Lonchura striata: one gene and its partner. The protein of the gene in region 2 purifies or fractionates together with the protein of the main gene of each other region. This does not show direct contact. Links are inferred from orthologs where the notes say so. Each region holds a gene or a part of one and is shown on either strand. Other genes may lie near its edges.

The links. Proteins that work in one complex are often made in the same cells at the same time.
Region 1: the proteins of ACTL6A (region 2) and DPF3 purify together in Homo sapiens (affinity purification with mass spectrometry; 4 studies listed by BioGRID and IntAct, counting the BioPlex papers as one, with this or other methods). This does not show direct contact. The link is inferred for Lonchura striata from reciprocal best matches to the Homo sapiens genes ACTL6A and DPF3.

The regions. Positions count from the first base shown.
Region 1 is NC_134608.1:35,480,169-35,490,117, forward strand, and holds the start of DPF3 (zinc finger protein DPF3), read right to left. Parts: upstream 4,599-9,949; 5' UTR 4,537-4,598; coding exon 4,505-4,536; intron 1-4,504. UniProt on the Homo sapiens protein: Belongs to the neuron-specific chromatin remodeling complex (nBAF complex).
Region 2 is NC_134612.1:20,304,576-20,314,128, forward strand, and holds the start of ACTL6A (actin-like protein 6A), read right to left. Parts: upstream 4,483-9,553; 5' UTR 4,444-4,482; coding exon 4,419-4,443; intron 3,658-4,418; coding exon 3,581-3,657; intron 3,386-3,580; coding exon 3,211-3,385; intron 2,855-3,210; coding exon 2,754-2,854; intron 1,545-2,753; coding exon 1,447-1,544; intron 783-1,446; coding exon 688-782; intron 458-687; coding exon 351-457; intron 266-350; coding exon 176-265; intron 1-175.

The DNA.
Region 1 (9,949 bases), on a different chromosome or scaffold from region 2:
ATTCATCCCATTTTCTCTGAAAGCTGCTGCTGAGATATTAGAAAATATGGTTTTCATGTGGACAACAGTTTTGATTTTAAGTGTGTCACATTAGGGCTCATTTGTGGTTTTAAGTAACATCAGAACCACACTGGAATTGCTGTAGAGATTTTGGTACATGGTTTAATGTGCCCAACAAACCCTGTTCTGTCAAGCAGAAGAAAATTCCCTTTTGCAAGGCCACATTAAAATCACCTCCACATCACTTGTAAACACTGAACTAGCAACCTGTCTATTTTATTGCTTCCACCTGCTGAAAGCAGCACTGCATGTTATACATTCACTTTAATATTAAAAATCAGCAACCAGATGCTTATACAACAATGTCCACAAAAAAAAAAAAATCAGTCTTCATCAGCACTTAATCAGGACATAGGGCTGTTTCAAGGATGTGTAATGGGATACAGGACCTTCCAGTTAAGAGTCCCCAGCCTGAGTTTAAGCCAGAATAATCACTAGTGAAGTACTCTTGCCATACAAGACCCCAAGACCCACACTGGTCTCTTGCCAATGTGAAACAGGGATGCAAACACAGACCACTTCTTCACAGGTGTCTTATGACACAGAATTCATCATCACAAGGAAGGTCATTTGGCAGCCCAAAGGTCGGAGTTGGCTGTCAAGGCAATTTTATCTGAGAAGGTACAGCAATTGAAAACCCAACTGCTGCTGTGTGTTTGCAGTGGGAATGCGGATACAGAACAGGCCTGGTAGATCAGCTCTGTGCTGTAGATCTAGCATTGTGCACACAAACCTGTGATGATCTGCTCCCCAAACACCTTGCAGAGAATAAGTGTATATCAAAGTTATCCAACAACGCAGTCAGCATGGAAGCGAGATCGCTGCCCTGAGCAGAAGGGAGAGCACTGGCACTTCTAAACTCCTGGGAGGCAACAGCTGTCTGGTGAGTGTCCAGCAGAGCGCTACACGGCACGGGGGACCTCACACGCTGAAATGGTAACAACCTATGTTCCACTTAGTGTGTTCAATTGACAACCTGAAATAAAAGTCATTCGTGGGAGTAAAGACAGAGAAGGGGTGGGAGGAAACCAGCTCTGCTTCTAGACAAGGCTGTGTAAATTACAAGGTCTTAATTACATTAAGTGCATTATGGTACCATATGCACATCACTAATAAGGCAGAGATGGAGGAAATGGGACTAAATGCTAAAACTGGAAGTTGAATGCCTGCATTCTAGACTTCATCTTTTAGAGAGATTCTGAACCACTTTGTCCTAGTTTAGCCATCCATAAAACAAAGGCAATAATCCTTTCTTCACAGGGGCGTTGAGAGGTTTAATTAATTAATGTTTACAAAGTCCACTGAGATTTCTGACTGACATTTGAAGTAATTCAGAATACTTTCTAAATGCATTTGTTTCTTCTACTGTACCACTCAAATGTCTTCATATTAAAATATCCAAAGAAGAAGATGGAAACAAAAAATATGGAGATACACACACAAACTAGTGGGGGGAAAAAAGCATCAACAACTTCAGCACTTTGAATCCACTGTTGTCCCATCAAAGCTGTCAGAATACTGCCATTTCTACAGATGAAGAAGCATGTGCTTGTCCAAACACCTGCTACCTTTACCTTGCAGATCTGTTAAACTTAGATCTCAGATATTTTTGTCTGTAGCACCGTAAACAACAAGCTAATAAATGGCAGAAATAACAGACAGTCATGTCAGGTAAACTGGTGCACCAGAGGAAGTGAAGGGGAGAAGAGCAGAGGGAAGAAAGCACCAAAAGAGAACCAGAAAGTGACAGAGAAAAGGCAAGTTGAGTAGGGAGAAACCAATCATTAATAAGGGACTCCACACACTGAGCTGTTCTATGAAATGCATTCCCATAGATGCTCAGGTACTGGAATACATTATTCAGAGAGAGTAGTGTAGCATGAACAAGGCCACATGTGTGTCCAAGTGCCAGAGACAAACTGAATATTAGACACTCCTAAATGCACAAGCATACACAAGGAGCTGCTTGATACCTGAGCCAGGATTTCTCAGTCCCTACATTGTCCCCCATTTCGGAGCAAAACCTTTGTGTGGCCGGTTTCTGTAGGGGGCGTTTGTGGGTTCTGAGATACAATCAAAACGCAGACAGAGGAAATGCAAATGTCATTCAGCTCCCGTTCATTGTCAGGAAGGACACATGAGGATAAAACAATGTGGACTGCATCCCTCCCCTATTATGTGTCCTACTGCTTTTGTCCTAATTTATCCCATGCATAATTTATTTACATGTGTATTGTTTCCCGATCAGCAACTTTAAAGAATAAGTGAAAATTATAAAATGTTTTATTAAACAAGTTGTCAACAAAATTACAGATGGTGTCAGACAGCCAGTACCAATTCTACTTCCTCCACATAGCCTTAGTACTTTAAAAGGCACACAGAGAAAAGCGAAACCAGCACTTGATGTCTATTGTTTCCTCCTCTCACACCCCCCAGGGGCGAGGGGAGGAGAAGGGAGCTAATTATAAATGGCCTCATCCTGTCCTCCCAGACTTCAGCAGCAGCGGGATCGGGCCCCGATTCATTTCGGCACAAGCGGCCCTTCGGCAGGGAGCGCCGCGGCTGCCGGGAGCCCCACGGTGCCACGAAGTGCGGTGCGAGGCGGCAAGGTCCCGTCCGCCGGCGGGGCGGGGGCCGGGGCCGCCAGCCGTGCTCCCGTGGCCGCTCCCGGGAGCTCCCCGCCTCCCTCTCGCCGTCCCCAGGGGCCACCGAGCCCGGGCTTCCCCGCTACCGGCAGCAGCCGCGAACGGCGCACGCATCCGCGGTGCTCCGTGCCCAGGTGCAAAGCCGGGCGGTGCGGCCCCGGGGTGCTCTGCCCGCGGCCGGCGGCCGGGAGGGGCGCGGGGAGAAATCGCTGTCGCCTGCACAAGCGTAAACCTGCCGTCGAACGCGGGGGGAGAAACGCTGCCTCTGCCGCGCGGTTTTCAGAGCGCGTTCAGTCCCTCGGCACCCACCCATGAGGACACTCGGACTGCTTCGATTAACCCCCTGCAACTGCGCTCCCCTCTCCCCGCGGATTTTTATATCCGAGAGGGCGAGTAAATGAAAGCAAAGGTTTTTCTGCCAGGACGGAGCAGGAAAGCTGATAAACATGTCAGCACCCCTTCCCAGCTCGAGGCTTTCCTTTCCCTCTGGATCGCAGAGACACAGCGGCAGAAATCCCTGGAAAAACCTTCAAGTGTTTTTCCAACTCCAGGCGGAGAGACTCGAGCCGGGAAAGAAAAAAAGAAAAAAAAAAAGAAAAAAAAAAAAAAAAGAAAAAGAAAAAACCTCGCAGCCCTAATTTCATCTCACAAAACTCAAAGGTATAAAAACACCCACTCAGCGCAGCCAGAAAGTGCAAGCGAAGCGTCACCGCCAGGTACTCTGCTTCCCTGCTTCACTAGGAAGAGCGCTGCCCCCGTTAGCAGGGAAGTCGTTTGAAAAAGGTTAAGATAGCTCCGCTCCCCACATACGGTGCCAAATCCCACTCTCCCTAATGCCTTCGGGGATTAGCGGCGTGCGCTGCAGACCACAAGGAAAATAAAGGACGCGATCCAGAAGACGACAACCGGCTCCCGCGGTGCCCCTCAGAAATCAGCCCTAGTTCCAGACCGGGAGCCCCGGAATACCTCCGCAGCAGAAGTACCTGCCCCCTCCCTCTCTCAAGCTGGGGTCAGACCCCGTCCGTACAGCCCTCGGCGGCTTGTGCCCGCTCTCAAGATGGAAACACAATCAACTCTCTTTGCCACTTTGAAAAGCGAAAGCCTGTCATATGCAAAACAGATCTCCGGACTTCCTGCCCAAAATCAGCGACCGGCAGTCCCGAGTCATTCATTTCACCCAAGTCTGCTTCCCTGCCTCGCCTCTCCGCTCCCTCTCCTGCACGGGCGCCGAGGCGCACCGGCAAAGCCCCCGCCGCCCCGCTTTCCGACCGCCCAGCCGAGAAGCGAGGGGGGTCGCTTCGTCAAGACATCCCAACTCCCCAAAGATTTCCCGAGGCAACTCCGAGCCGCGGTGGGAGCGCGGAGGCACCGCGCACCGAGCGCCCCCGCGGGCCGGTCGGTGCCCCGCCGAGCGCGGTGGCGGGGCCAGCCCGCCGGGGCAGCGGGGGCAGGACGCTGTCAAGTGCGCGCACCCCCGCGGGACGCGGCCGCCGCCGACCCCGCGCTGAGCTCCGGGAGCGCCGGGCGGGCTCCCCGCCGCCGCCCCCCGGCCCGACGCCCCCCGCCCCGCGCCCGGTCGCCAATTAACCCAACAATTTTTTCCTCGTTAATTTCGGCGCGAGCCGCGGGGATGTGTTGCACAAAAAAACGAGCGAGCCGCTGAGGCAGAAAGGAGGGCGGTAGGAGGGACCCGCCGAGAGGCTGCCGGCACCCGGCTCCGGCTGGCAGCCGGCGCCGGAAAGGCGCCTTTTTTCATATTTAAACCACGCGGAATATGTACATTTTTGATTCCTACTTACGCTTTCAGGGGGTTGTGAATGACAGTCGCCATTTTGCTACAATGTAACAGAATATTGTGTCTCGGAGTTCTAAAGGTTCGCTCAGGGGAAGCGGCCAGCCAATGGCAGCGCGGCATACCGGCCCGCCAGCCAATGGCGCGGCGGGGGCGGGGCCGGGCGCTGCTAGTTATTAGGGGAGCTGTCAAAGCCCAGAGGTCACTCCCTCTCCCTGGAACTGGCGGCGAGCAGGTCTTAAAGGGGCAGCGCCGCCGCCGAGGCCGCCGCTGCGCCGGGGGCACCCCGGGCTCCAGCGAGGCACTTCCCCGCCGCGCTCCGGCCCCGGCTCGAACGCGCCGCGCCGGGAGAGGGGAAGCCGGGCTCGTTCCTCGTCCCCTCGCACCGCCGCCGCTAGCCCCCGGTTTCCCAGGCGGCTTGCCCCGCTGGGGGAACGAGCCCGCGCTGCCCGCTCGCTCCGCACGCTGCCCGGCAGCGTCCCTCCCGCGCCGCTTCCCTTTCTGCGCGGCCGCGCTCCCCGCAGGTCTCCGTGAGCCGCCGGTTCTGGCAGCGGCTTCAGGGCAGCGCCGCTCCCGCTCCCCCTCCCCCAGGAATTTCCCTCTCCCTGTCAGTCATCCCGGCCCGCAGCCCCTGCGCCCTTACATAACACGCGGCGGCCGGACCGCCCGGCCGGCCCTGCACAGCCCCGCAACTTTCTCCCACAGAGCAACTTCTGGCGCGCCGGGAGCCGGGCCCCGTCTCCGTCCGACACAGGGAGCCGCGAGGGGAAGAGCCCTGACCCGCGTCCCACCGGACATGCAGCCCGGCGGTGAGACAGAAGGCGGAGGCTGGACCCCGGAGCGCGGCAGGGAGCAGCACGCAGAGCCCATTCCTAGGGAGGCGGCGAACTCCAGGAAGCCTGGGTTTACCTGCAACTAATTAAAGGAACTTGCGAATGAATTATGGAGCACGACCCAAGTGATTTAAGAGGTGTCAATCCTGATCTCACTCTCAGATACTGATCTCACTCTCAGAAGTAAACTCACTGAAGTTCACGAAATTGCTCCAGTGTAAATTAGGTGCCAACAAGAGCAGAATCAAACAAGTTTTTTACTTGTCTGATAGCAATGTCAACTTTGTCATCTCATACTTTTCTTCCACTCCCAAAAGCCTCGTTTCCCTTCAGGCATCCTCCATCCTTCTAAAAAACACAAAGAAGCACCACCAAAATCAAGCCTACATCGCCATTCTTTGCATCTATACATTCAGAAGAAACTCAACTAAAGACAATTAAAAGACACTACTGTCAAAGCAGAGGGAAAAGTGAGAAAAACTAGAAAAACATTTTCATTCCCAACTTAATGAATAACAGAATGAAAATAGTGATGTTTGTAAGACATTACCAGAAGTAGAAATAGCAATCTTCCTGGACTGAACTTGAAAAAGTAAAGACAACCAAAATCTCTCTTGCTCAACTACTTTACAAATAAAACTTTCCAATACTAGGGCAAAAGAGAAAAGGAAGAGGAATGGAGAACAGAAAGAGTATGACTGTTACTCACAGTGAAGACAGGTACATAAGTATAATGCAGCGGTTTTCTGTTCATTAAGGATTCATCAGAAGTTTGCAAGAAGTTAAAATTTAGGATCTGTCTAGTGTCCCTCTTTCTGAAACTTTACTTATTCCCGCTACTAGGTCAACTTAGGTACTGTGCCAGGCGTATATCCCTGGAGGGAAGTATCTCTTCCATCAAAGCAATCTAAGCCATTTGGTTACAGGCACTGCTTAGGAGAAATAAGCTTTCTGTCAGCTGGAGAGTTTCCAAGATGCTGAGATCTATCCCAAAACAGTTCTGGGAAGTAATCTTTAAGAACATTTCCATTATCATATTACATTATATTATTTAATATATAGTGGTCCAGGTGACATTGAATGCAACGTCAGACCCTCCCTGCATAGTACCTCTCACTGCTCACAGGAAAAGCTAACCACAAACTGCCAACTTGTCACAAGCACACAGTTGATGTGTGTGCTGCAAAGAAATAAATGGCAAATGGCATAGCATGCACCTGAACTGGTGACCACAGACTAGCAACCTACACCCCATCTCACTAATACGAGGATTTCTGGTTTGACTTTTCTTGTTGCTGTGATATTTGCTTGATGGCAAACACTTGAGTACTTCCTGTAGGATGGGCAATATTCACTTGTGGGATAATGATTTTGCTTCACATATAAGAAAAAAACAGCCTAGGACCATATCACACTGCAGAACAGGAGATAGATTTGTGTTACTGAGAGAAGGTACGAAAATCTGACCAAGCTCTAGAAAGCCCTGAGATTTTCTAATGCAAACTCGTGACATTTTCAAATAATTAAGAAACCCTGTTTGAGGTCATGTTTAGAAGTTTAATGAGTCCCTCTGGTCCTATATTGTTGGATATATAGGCCCATTCCTGCTCTGCAGGCCATGAGCTCTTGGTACAGCTTGGCAGGGAGTGTATTGCAAAAACGGGATGAAGCCATACAGGCTTCCCTGGCTGCTCCTGTTATTCAGACGTTGGGCTTTTATCAGCTACCAGCAAAAGCAACAAACAGTGAGAACAGGCACAGATGACCTTGGATTGTTGATAGCCCTTTTCCCAGGCAGACCCCACATTCCTGGCTAAGAGAGCCAGTCAACAGCACTGCCTCACTCAAAGGAATCTCCAGGACACCCAAGGACAGAGCTGCCATATCAGAGCAGTGGGAAGTCTCACCTGCAGTAATGAAGAGATCAGGCTTTGCTCACACGTCCATATAATTTGCCCACAGTGTTTTTCATGCAGAATCCCACAACAGTTAGGTTACCATTTTAGCTGAAAGAAAAAGCACAGAGCACTGATGGGCATTTTGCTTGTAATGAACTACAGAACTTGTTTACATGTTCACTGTTTGCAAGCAGGGGGAACATCACAAACCTGTATTAATAAAAATTTCATGCCACATCATAGTTACCTGCATTTTTACATATACACCAGTCCATCATTGGTAGGTTATTAGATTAATTTTTCTTCTGATTTTAATGTACCATAAGTCACTAATCAGTAATGCTACTGTTGTTTTACATCCTGAAAGACCAACAAAGTTGAGACACACTCAGTTACGTATACACTAAATCACAACTTCAGGATTTTTACATTTGTACTTAGTTACTGTTAGTTTTATTCACACTCACCTGAAACATAGCAAGGAGGCTGCAAGAAAGTATAAATAATTTAAAAGTATATGGCATAAAAAGCCCTGGGTGGGCATATTCTTAACGAGAGCTTGCCAAATGTTTGGACAGCCAGCACATAAATTTTGAAAAAGGTAAGTTTTGACACAAATCTATTGGGGTAACATCTGTAGCATTAACACAAGGCCTGAGCATGCTGCATCTATAGGGTCAGAGTGAGCAGGGCTTTAGAAGGGAGTCCACCACCTCACCTCCAGCCCCTCATACAGAACTGTAGCTTGTCTCTACTCAAGAAGAAGAAACACAGTGTCATATCTTCTCAGTGTATTGGTAAGTGTGATGCCTCTGTTTCAAACATTTTTACTATTTACATAACCCTGAAAAGCTTTATTTTAGCTGACAATATTTCAAACTTTGAAAGAATTTTTACCTTGTACTTATTATCTTCTGCTTTCTGTTTTATCTTGTTAAGTTTTAACGTAGAGTTGCTGCTTTCTGGAGGGAAAGAAAGTTAGGTTCTTATCGTATATTCCTCAACTCTTGTGAATTGGAAAGTGAAACAAACTAGACACCAACATTAAAAGCCACAAATCTAATTTTGCTGTGGAAGGAAACAAAGAACAGAGCTGAAAAAAAGTGGTTTCTGGTAGATTAGCAACTGTTAAATATTCTCAGGTATTTCTAGTGATTTATAATTTTCTTTTGTTAATATATATTAATATTCAAAGTATCAGAATCATATAGGTCTAAATAAGATAGTGTGCTATAATGTAGCTTGTTACAGCAAAACAGGGCCCCACATGCACAGATATCCTGCAAGAGATTTGAAGCCTTAACCCCTTTTTATTTATTAAAGCTGTGCAGGCATCTCTCATACACTGTTTCTTGTCAGCCCTCCTCCTCCCTTTCTTTGATCTTTACCAATAGTTGCTTAGCTGAAAAAGGAGGAAAAGATATCAGAGTGTCAGTGTTACAGACTCAACACCAGCCTTCTACAGACACATTCCCAAAAAAATTACATAGTCAGCATAACAAAGATAACTATGGAGCTATACTGTGTAAAAACTGGCACCAACAATTCATTCTTCACAACTTTGGGAATTGTATCCATGAAAGGGACCTCAAATTTTTAGCTTTTTTCTTAAGCAAAATTTCCCCTCTAAACTTATAGCAACAAATCTTGGACATCTTTAGTGTATCTTGATTTCAGGCCTGATTCTGTTATCCAGTTTTCTTTATTGTATGCACTGTTCAGTTTTTAATTACTTGCATGCTGATGTCTGGACTCAAACCCACTATTTTTTAATGGGATATTCTGATAAAATACATTTTAACACTAAAGAGGAGTCTCTAGTAGTAAGATGTACATGGAGGCCTCAATCTGAAGCTTTCAAAAATTTGGGGAGACAGAAGTTCCCAGAGCCTGGCTCAAGTCTGTCCCTAGTTTAATAAACTATTCAAAATCTGTTTAGTGTGGCTGCCAGAAGAGTCTTTGTCATGCATTGTTTTTAAATTTCCCCAACAATAGAAAATAATGTTATGAACAAGCTGCTTCAAAAGGACAGTACAAGTCTTTCTGGTAGCCACTGCAAACCCACAGTAACAGTAGGAAAAGGAACCTAATAAAACAGACACATCCTCTGAAGAACACACATTCAGCAACTATGGTTGCCCTGTCCTTCAGGGGAGTCATTGGTAAAATTTAGATGGGACAAAACTGAATTCCCATCAAAAAGCACATGATAGAAAGCACCTAAGAACAACTTGTCAAAGTTTATTATGAAATTTCAACAGAGACACAGGTCTGTCTGCCTTATTTCTTGAGAAACTAGTTTGGGAAAAATAAAAAACAAAAGGAAAAAATAATACAGGAAAATAAAATAATAAAGAAAAAAAAGAATAAATTAAAAATTAAAGAAAAAAGAAAAGGTGAACACTTTGGGAGTCCTTTTCAGTCTTTCCTTCATTAAAGATAGGAAAAATTTTTTTTACATTACATCCATCTACAGAGGTGGTACCTTGATGCATCTGAAATATTGCTGTCTCCATCCTCTTATTCCCAGTACAAAGGTGAACGTGATTTTCAAAGGTGACTTAATCTTTGGAGGGAGCAGGTGGTATAGACTAGGGAACAATCAATAGACGATCTGTCTGCTCCTAGAAAAGTTCCTCATTGCTACTCTGAATGGAGTTCAGGGATACTGTCTGCCTATGATTTCAACCACCTTTAAACAAAAACTTCAAATGTGGTCCC
Region 2 (9,553 bases):
AACATGAACATAAATAATAATAATTTTAGTCTTCAGTTTTATAAAATTTATAGAATTGGCACTAACTTTTCAAATATTTTCTTGTTCTTCAAGAGAAAGCACTGACACACTTGCAAACAAATCTTATTTATGGAACATTCAGGGGAGATGAGAGCAGGAGGAATGACCTACTTACATTACACATGTAGTTGTGCCAAGACCTGGTGACTTGGGGCAACTTCTCTTTTCTCTTCCAATTTGCTGGCGATCCCTCACGAACTGCCTCCTGAGATTGTAGGGTACAAAGTCATCACGTAAGCATTGCAGCCTCTCTCCAAGACAACACTCACTAAATAAATTCACTTTCCCACCTTTGAAGCAATCATATATGGAGGAATTATCTCTACGTTCATTTCCTGAAACAATTCCCGGCACTGCATAGTGATAAAGTCTCCTGCAAGTGGTGATTTTACAATACCTAGAAGGCAAAGAGGGGATCCAAAATAAAAACCAAAACAACTAACCTGGAAAGTATCCAAATCATGGATCATTTGGATACTCTCCCAATTATTTCTCAGTGAACACTATTAGTGTTTTTTCCTTTTTAAGGGGATACACAAATGGAAAAGCAGTAACAAAACTGTACAAGCAGAAGTCACTCTAACTTGGCCTTGATACAGCAGTGCTGTTATCCATGAAAGTTTATACCTTGCTGAAGTACATATCCATCATGCACTGGAATAGCAGTGGTGTGTGTTGCTCCACTATCCAAGATGAGACCTGTAGATCTTCCATTAGCAAAACTAGTCAAAGTGATTAAGGAAAATACCATAATTTTCACTTTAGAAAAAAATGCTGCCATACAATTAAATCTTAACTAGGAACGAGGACTCCAACATGTTATTCCTCTCCTCTACAAAGGAATTTCCAGTGTATACCATCTTTCTGTGAAATGCCCCATCTCATAGAGAGCAGCATTTAACTTCCTTCCATCTGTGAACTAACTCAAGCTTTGGAGGCACAAGGGTGAGACTTCATGCCAATGCCATGCAGCAAGCTCTAAGTACATCCAACTCATTTAGACTCGAAGCTGGGAACATATTATTAGTTTAAAATAATTACAGATATTCTTCTTAAGGCTATGAAAACATCAAGCTCTAATTACTGTATTCAGTAGTGTGCCATTTCATACCTGTAATATTTTTATCCATAGTATACAATGGGAAAAAAAACATAATTTAAAAAAATACTTTGACCCTCAAGGACAGAGTCAGATTGGGAGAAATTCAAAAATGAGCTCTAATCCCTTAAAGTTTAGAAAATGCAATTGTTTACTTCCTCCCTGGATTTATTGAAAAAAAAATTTGAAGGAACTTAGGCATAGCTTGGAATTGCCTGGAAAAAGTTTACCATAATTTCCTGGGGGGAGGAAAATAAAAGCATGCAGTGAAGCATTTCAAAGGATACGCTGTCAGAACAGCAGTTTTACACAAGAAAAACGCTGGGATGTTGTAGTGCTCAAACATCAACTCCGTCAGTTTCTCACGCTTTGCCCTGGTATTCCACTAAAAATGATAAACCCAAACCACAAGTAAGTGACCAAAAGGAAGCTCTCGTTTGCACACTAATAGATTGCTAACACAATAAAGAAGTTAGCAGAAAACCTGCAGCCACAGTTTCAAGTTATACCACAATTCTACATAAATGGATTTCTAGTAACGTTTTTCATTCCATTTATACTGCAATACATCAATCTTATCTGTCACACAAAAGTGCTGCACACCTCTGGTGTTACAATTGATTTCTTTACACTTCTGCAGCTCTTCCAGTGTCAGGTTCCCAAAGAACTCTCTAAAGCAAGCACCCTGCCTTCCACAAGGGGAAAGATACATGAAGGAACTTGCCCAGTGGGAAGAAAAATAAATCCAGACTTTCCAGTTCCCAAAGCAGCTTCCTACGATTCTACTGTAGTTGTTATTAAGCCAGGATATATCTCAAATATTCAACACTTTAAGGAAAATGTGGATTTTTTTCCAAGCCAATACAAGAAAGTAAGATGAGGTTTGTAAGCAGAATTTCAATGGGAATGTTTCTATTCAGACATCCACTGAGCCATCAAACAGCCACTGCAAATTCATCCACACTCCAAAAGCTGTGGTTCAACACAAGGAAACTATGAAATTCAAGAAAATAATATTCATAAGGTCTTATTACAGAAAGGCATCACTTGTCTATGGCATGTCTACCTCTTCTACTCTGACTTTCAAGATCTGCCTTCAAATGCTGAGCATTTTAAACTTTGTTTTCATCCACTTCAGCTGCCTTACAGGACCACTTACAGAAACAAAGACAGAAAAATTAAAACTTCTCTATTATAAATATTGTTCTGTGTCATTTAATACTACTTGTAAAGCTGAATGAAGCAAGATTTTTGATGGCACTTTATTAAGTGTAACTTAATATAAAAGATATCCAAACATCTTTTTTCTCTTTATTCTAGGCAGTAAAATTTCTTTTTTTAATTTTTGGCTTCTTTTCAGTAAGTGAAAAACAATAGCATATTGTAAATACTTTCTAATACAACTCATACAAACTATTTCAAAATGAGGGTTTTTTAGACATTTTCCAGAAGCTGTCCAAGTATTTTAAAACTGTCATTTCTGTAGCTACATTTTAGCACTTGTCACCTACAAGCCATTGTCAGACTTATCCAGGACTAATGTTTGCAGAGTTAGCAAAAAGACTTATCATAATGCACAATTGGTTTTACTCACTGGTGCTTCAGACATAAGGACAGGATGCAAACTTGCTTCAGATTTAATATGCATCTTGTAAGTGTGATCCAAAATTGCCTGGAAACTATCCCAGTCTTCAACTATAACAACATTGAGACAAACAGGTTAGTTACTCCTAAGTTTTGTTTCATTTCATAAACACAAAGGCTTTCCAATTTAGTTTTTTGCATAGAGTTCTTCAGTCAAAAGCTGTCCTCAGCAGATACACATCTCCTTTAACAGATCTGCAGAATTCTCTTCCTCCACAACCACCACAACTTCAACAATTATGCTGAAAGCCCACTAACACTGAAAACCAACCACATCTCCCTGCAATTTGTAAACCAGGAATCTGTTCCTATGGCCTCTGTTGCTGTACATAACAGCTGCCAACACAACTATAACTTCCTAGCAATGCTATTTTAAAATCAGGTAGAAAAAGACAAGAGCACCATACTCATTCCATTTTTTAAAGGTGAAATGGCTTCCATATTCTCCCTTGGAACTCTCAAGGCATTAGTGTCTATGTAGTAAGTTGGGCCCCCTTGTTTGCCTTTGTCACCATCTATCTCCATCAGAGTGCTGCCATTGTCCCTTTCTAGCACCACACCAATGGCTGTTGGAAAATCCACCTGCAAGGCAAGAGGCAAGCAGTACATAAGGACTAGTAATGTTTTGGAAATTGTTGTTTTTCTCACAAATTCCGAAGTTTCTTTATACAATACAGTCAGAACAAGCCCCAGTGTGTTCAGAAGGGCTGTAACTCACAAAGAAGACCTAAGGCATAAATTCATGTTCAATTTCCATCGAGGCACAGATTCTCTCACCTTCGGGCAGTCCTCGCCTGCATAGCCTGCTCTCACTGTGTACGAGCCAATGTCAAAAACCAGTGCCCCGACTTCATCTGAAAAGATTGTTAAGAAAGAATGGTTATGCTCTTCTGCAACCCTGACCTTTCCCTGCCCACCACCTGCTTTACTGGCAAACAAGACAAGCAAATCAAGAGATCTTTTACAAAGCAAGGACAAACTTTTCTATTCAGAGCTCCCGCGACCAGAGAGCTATTGGAAAACTGCAGACAGGCTTTAACTGGTGCATTGCAATCCCTGTTTGGTGTTAGAAGAAAATTTTAGTACAAGAGAGAGAACGTAGTAGCAGCTTAACGGATGGCAAGATAAAGCTTTCAGAAAGTTCTAATTTAGCAGTCACACGAAGCCAGGTGAGCCCAGAGCCCCTGTGGGTGATGAGGATGAGGAAGGTGGTGCAAACATCAACTGTGTGAGGGAAGGGCTCAGGGCATAAGCGCCCATTCCTACGGGCCCGATCGCCGCTGATCTACGCACATCCTACAGGAAAGCTGTCGGAAACGAGCGGTGGCCACGGGGGGTGCGCAGAGGGGCTCGGGGAACCACACCCGGCTCCCAGAGAGCGGGGACCTTCCCCGGCCCTCGGCAGAGCGGGTCCTGCCCAAGGCCGCGCCGGGGAGGCAGCCCGGGGGCGCCGAGGAACCAACAAGGCCCGCCGCCGCCGCCGCCTGCCCGTCACGCGTGGGGCGCGGAGCGGCCGCGGCAGCGCCGGGCCGGGCTGAGGGAGGCGGGAAGCGCCCGCCGCGGCCGCACGCGCCGCCTCGCGGGGCGGGGGAGGGGAGGGCGGCGCCGGACTCACCTCCCCCGTACACGCCGCCGCTCATGGCTGCCGCTGGGCCCGGCCCCGCCGTCCGCCGTGCCCGCGCCGCCCGGCCCCGCTCCCCGCCTGCCCCGGTGTCCGCGGGGCCCGCGCTCCCCGCCCGCTCCTCTCGCCGCCGACCCAGCAACAAAAGCGCCCCGGCCACGCTCCCCGCCCGCGGCCCGGCCCGACCCGCAGCGCCGTCGCCCGCCCGCCAATAGCAGCGCCGCGCGGGCAGAACCGGCCAATCCCGGGCGGCGGGGGGCGGGACCTTGCCGCGGACAACCAATCCTGGAGCCGGACGCGAAGGGCGGGCAGGCGAGGGAGTGCGGGCGGGGGGCGGTGTGAGGGGAGCGGCGGGCGGGGATGGGCAGAGGGCAGGGGCGGGCGGGGCGAGCGGAGCGGGGCAGGTGCGCTGGGGACCGTGCGGGCAGTCACGGGACGCTTCGGGCAGGAGGGGACCGCGCTGGATCCTCTGGTCGCACTTGCCGGCGCCGGCAGGGTCGTCCCCGAGCACGTGGCACAGGATTGCGCCCAGAGAGTTCTGGGGTATCTCCAGTAAGGGCGACTCCTCATCTCCTATGGGCAGTCATTTCTAGTGAGCGGTCATTGCACAGCAAAGTTTTCTCACGTTCTGGTGGAACTTCCTCTACACCAGTTTCTGCCCCTTGTCTCTTGTTCTGCTGCTCAGCACCACCTGAGAAGGGCCTGATCCATCCTCTGACACCTCCCTGGTGACTTTGAGGTCACCTTCCGAGGCTGGAGAGGCTCTGCTTGCTCAGCTTCTCACGAAACACTGCAGTCCCTTCATCGTCCTCGGCTGGAGCAGCTCCTCCTCTTGTACTGAGGAGCCCAGAGCTGGACATGGGGAAGGCTGCCGGCTTGGCTGGACTCGGGAGAGGAGGCTTGTGAATCCTGAGGGCTCGCAGGGTGAGCTCGCTGCCACATGAGGAGCGGGATGACTCCAGAGCATCGGGACTGGAAAGGAGCCGCTGCTCCTGGGCCCTCCCCAGCTCCACCTGGCAGGAGGCTGTAACCAGGTGGGATCAGCCTCTTCTGGGCAGCCAGCAACAGGACAACAGGCTATAATCTCAAACTGTGCCAGGCACAGGTAGTCTTGATGATCTCAGAGATCTTTTGCAACGTAACATTCTGTGATTCCCCTGCTGCTATCACTGCTCTGTTGGGCTCTTCCACTGAGAATAAAGCTTTTGAAGTCTATCTTAATGGGCCTGCCTCGTGTGGTTCCCTTCTTGCTTGGGGCAGAGCCCTTGGTCCCCGAGGCTGGTTTGTCTGCAGAGCTGGGCAGTTCAGCTGCCAGTTTTACAGCTGGATTTCTAGTTAGGATTTCACATCGCCTTGTTTGGTGTCAGAGCGTTCAGCCAAACCTGGTGTTCAGCCAGGACAGCCAGAGATGGGTAACTATAAAGCTGTTGGAATTAAAGAAAACAAAAGAAAAACCTCAACAGTTAGCATTAGAGAAGACTAATATTTTAACTGGAGAACAAGGGAATTGGCTTAAAGGGCAAGTGTTCCTGGTGTACACCTTTTTGAATTTTTATGTGAGGTGGGTTTTTTTGGATGGAATGGGAAGCTGTGTGTTCTTTTAAAGTTTACCTAAGATAGGTAGCTTATTTTTGTAATGCCGTAGCAAGAATCTTCAAGTGATTCGATTTAGCCAGCTTAATAGTAAAGCTGTTGAGAATTGAATGAATTACTACAAATGTCAGCAAACTTTATGCTGGTGAAGAGTAAAAGCAGCCTAGATGTGTGTGTTTGTACTGCAGCTCCTAAATTGCTGCAGTTAACATTGGGCTGGTAGACAGCAATCCCTGTTTAAGGGAGAGGGTGTCAAAACATAGGAAAAGTAGTAAAATCCAACAGTTTCAAGGGACAACCACTTGAGTTGGGCTTTTTAAACAGTACAAGGAGATTATTTTATTTACTAACTTTCAAGGGCAAGGAACTTAATTTGACACACAATTTGAGTCTATTTCTTTAAAGAGCAAAGTCATAATTTTATCATGCAATTAAGAAATTATTTTATAATTTATAGTACAATATCACTACAACATATAGATTCTAGCATTATAAAGATAAATCCTGCTGTTTCATAAAGCCAGTGCACCTTCATTTTGTGTTATGAAATATTTTCGAGTATGTTATCATGATTTCCAGTATGTGGCACTAATACTCAAGGCATGGTTCTTTGAGGAGGAGGAATTAATTGCAGATGGGAAAAGCAGTTCAGAAAATTTGGAATTACCATGCCAGAGGTTCTTCATTTAGCTCCTTCTTGTACTTTATTTTGCAGTGATGATCCTTTGAACTCAAGTGATAAAAGACACTTTAAGCCAGACCCTGCTCTCTGCACAACCGCTGCTTGTGACTGACCTGCAAGACAGGGACCAACACAGCATTCTGCTGCTTTATTTTTCTTCACTATTCAACACAAGAACATGCCCTAGAAATCATGTTGTATCCAGAAGTCTAAGGATTTGATAGCTATAAGGAACAAAGTCAAATCCATGCAATTCACAAGAAGTCTGGAGTATAAGGGGAAGGAAATGTAGACTGACAACTCTCTGGATCCTACTTTTGTCTTCCTTGTACTGTTCCGGGTGTTTCCATCAGTGGAAAGTGTGCAGAGCATCATGTTGCTGTGGTTTGACAGGGTTCTACAGTGACTTTGCTTTGCAGCAGGTGGATAACTCTACACTGTTCCGTGCACAAGAGAAATAGATTTGAGGCATCTGTTTTCAGCAGGGTCGAGCCTGATTTACAGACTAGCAAATTTCAGATTATTTCCGTGAACTCATGCACATCATCCTATGTTTGCATAAAAGCAGGTGAAATCTGTAGTTTTGCTACCCCTTTCCTCAATGAACCCAAATATTTGTGGATCTTTTGATAATTTTTGCTTTGTTTCATCAGAAGCAAGGATTATAAAATCAGGGTAGATAGGAACAATAACTGTATTTTATCTAGGTTCCTATATTGGTACAAATAGCCATAATATCTTGGCAGGAGTTGTGGATGCCAGTGTGACACAAACCATGTGCTTCTCATGGGAATATTACATATTGATTTACTGTATGTGACATTTATGTAATAATTATAGAACCAAACACTGGCATAAATTGTCCATGGGAATAAAGAGAAGAATCATTTAAAAGTGAGGCATGAACCAAGACATCAAATTATGATGCTAACTCATAGGCAAAAAATAATTCCATCAGTGATAATCTGGAGAAACAGAAGTTTCCTAATTATTGCTTTAAGATTTTTAAGACTTCATTGTTTCAAGCAAGTTCATTCACCTTTTTGATAACATAAAGCAATGTGGAAAGTAATGTACATGTCAAGCCAAAACTGAACAGAATGATTTTTTGTTTCTCAACAAGCAGCACTTCCCCGTTGGGGTGGCTGGTGGCCTGTTGCTTTTGAGCTGTGCCATCCAACTGCCAGCCACTCTCCCAGGCTGCAGTGCCAGCAGACTGGCTGGGACAATGGCTTATTCAGCATGTCTGGGTTCCTCCTTGTTTCTGGATTGCAAAATGCATGTTAAAGGTTTTATTTTTCCTGCTTTCAGATGAGGTCTTAAATGTTTATGTGAACTAGGAAAACATCTGTAGATGAAAAAGCAAAATACTCATTAATATTTATTCACTCAATAACTTTGTATGACCTCTCAATTTTCCACTTTATTTGCTAAACTACTTGGGTACTTTGTCAATTTAAATACTTCCGTTCCTCACAGGGATGCTGAGTATCATTCTCCTTCTGCAGAAAATGAGCAAGAACAGAAATTAAATGCTGAGCCTCACTAAGGAGCCTCAACACTGGCACAATGACTTTTAGGTTCTTATCTCAGACTGAAGTCCAAGCATTTAATTCTGTTTCATATAAAATATTCTAAAGACAGACACACCTTAAACCTGGATAAGAACCGTAGAGGCTGTTTGATTCTTAACAATGGAAAATTCTGAGGAACGGAGATGTGTCTGAAATCTCTCTGTGACTCCAGTAAGGCAGTCCTGAGGCTATATGTTCCAGAATCTTCTTTTGGAGCTGGTGTGTTTAACTAGTTCTGCAAAAGAGCCATGACTCACTCTCATTCTAGAACATGATTGAAAGAAAGGGTGATGGTGCTTGCCATTAATGCACAGTCAACTTTCCCTCACCAATGGATGGCTTGACTCAATTTCAGAGATCATGCTGAGCTTCCATCTGACTGTCTGGAGTGATAGTGACTAGGATATGCTGGAGAATAGGGGGGAAACCATGTAATAACAGAACTATTTTATAGTTCTGTTCTGTAAGTGGTTCCTGGGAAACACAATTAGAGGCCTCCAGACCCTTTCATTGTTCAGATCAGGCAGAGTAAGGAATCACAGAGCCAGATTTGATCAGCAATGGACAGCAATACTTGCCTGGAACTGGTTCTGAGGTAATTGGTTTTCTGGGATGAGCTGGCCCTGGCCAGAACTGAAGTGTGTCTGTATGGCCCTTCTCAAATGAGTCTCTTGTGCACGTATGTCTCACTTGGCTCAGGTTTGGCAGAACTCACTGTTTCAGGCTTAGTGCTTGGTCTGCAGTCACTTTGGATTCTTGCAGGGCTTATTTACTTGGCAGCTGGGCCAATCCTGACCTGGCTCAGTACCTCTCATCTGCAGAAACAAAGCTCCTTAGAGCTGGGAACCGGCTTAGCCTGACAAACAGAAGATCTTTGTGTCACCTGAGCCCTGCCATTAATGAGGGCATTGATCCCCTGGTGACAGTGGGAATGTGCTTATAAGAGCCGAGCAGGTAGCATGGAGCACTGATGTTCTTCCAGGCCAGATGCAGCGTGGCAAGGTTCAAATCCCTGTTCCTGGCTTTCCAGGAGGTGCTGGGTTGCCTCAGTAGCATTTTCAAGCCGTGGTGCCGTGCAGCTCAGAGCCATGGTTCTGTGCAAAAGGGGGAATCCCAATGGGATCCTCCTCCTCCTCTGAGAGAGGAGAACCTCAGGTCCTGTTCCAGAGGCTCTGTGGGTGAAATGCGGCAGTGTGGGGATCAGAGCTGTAAGGGTGTGCTCACAACTCATCCTACAGACCTAGTGACACGTTTTGTGTCACCATCAGGCTTGGAATCTT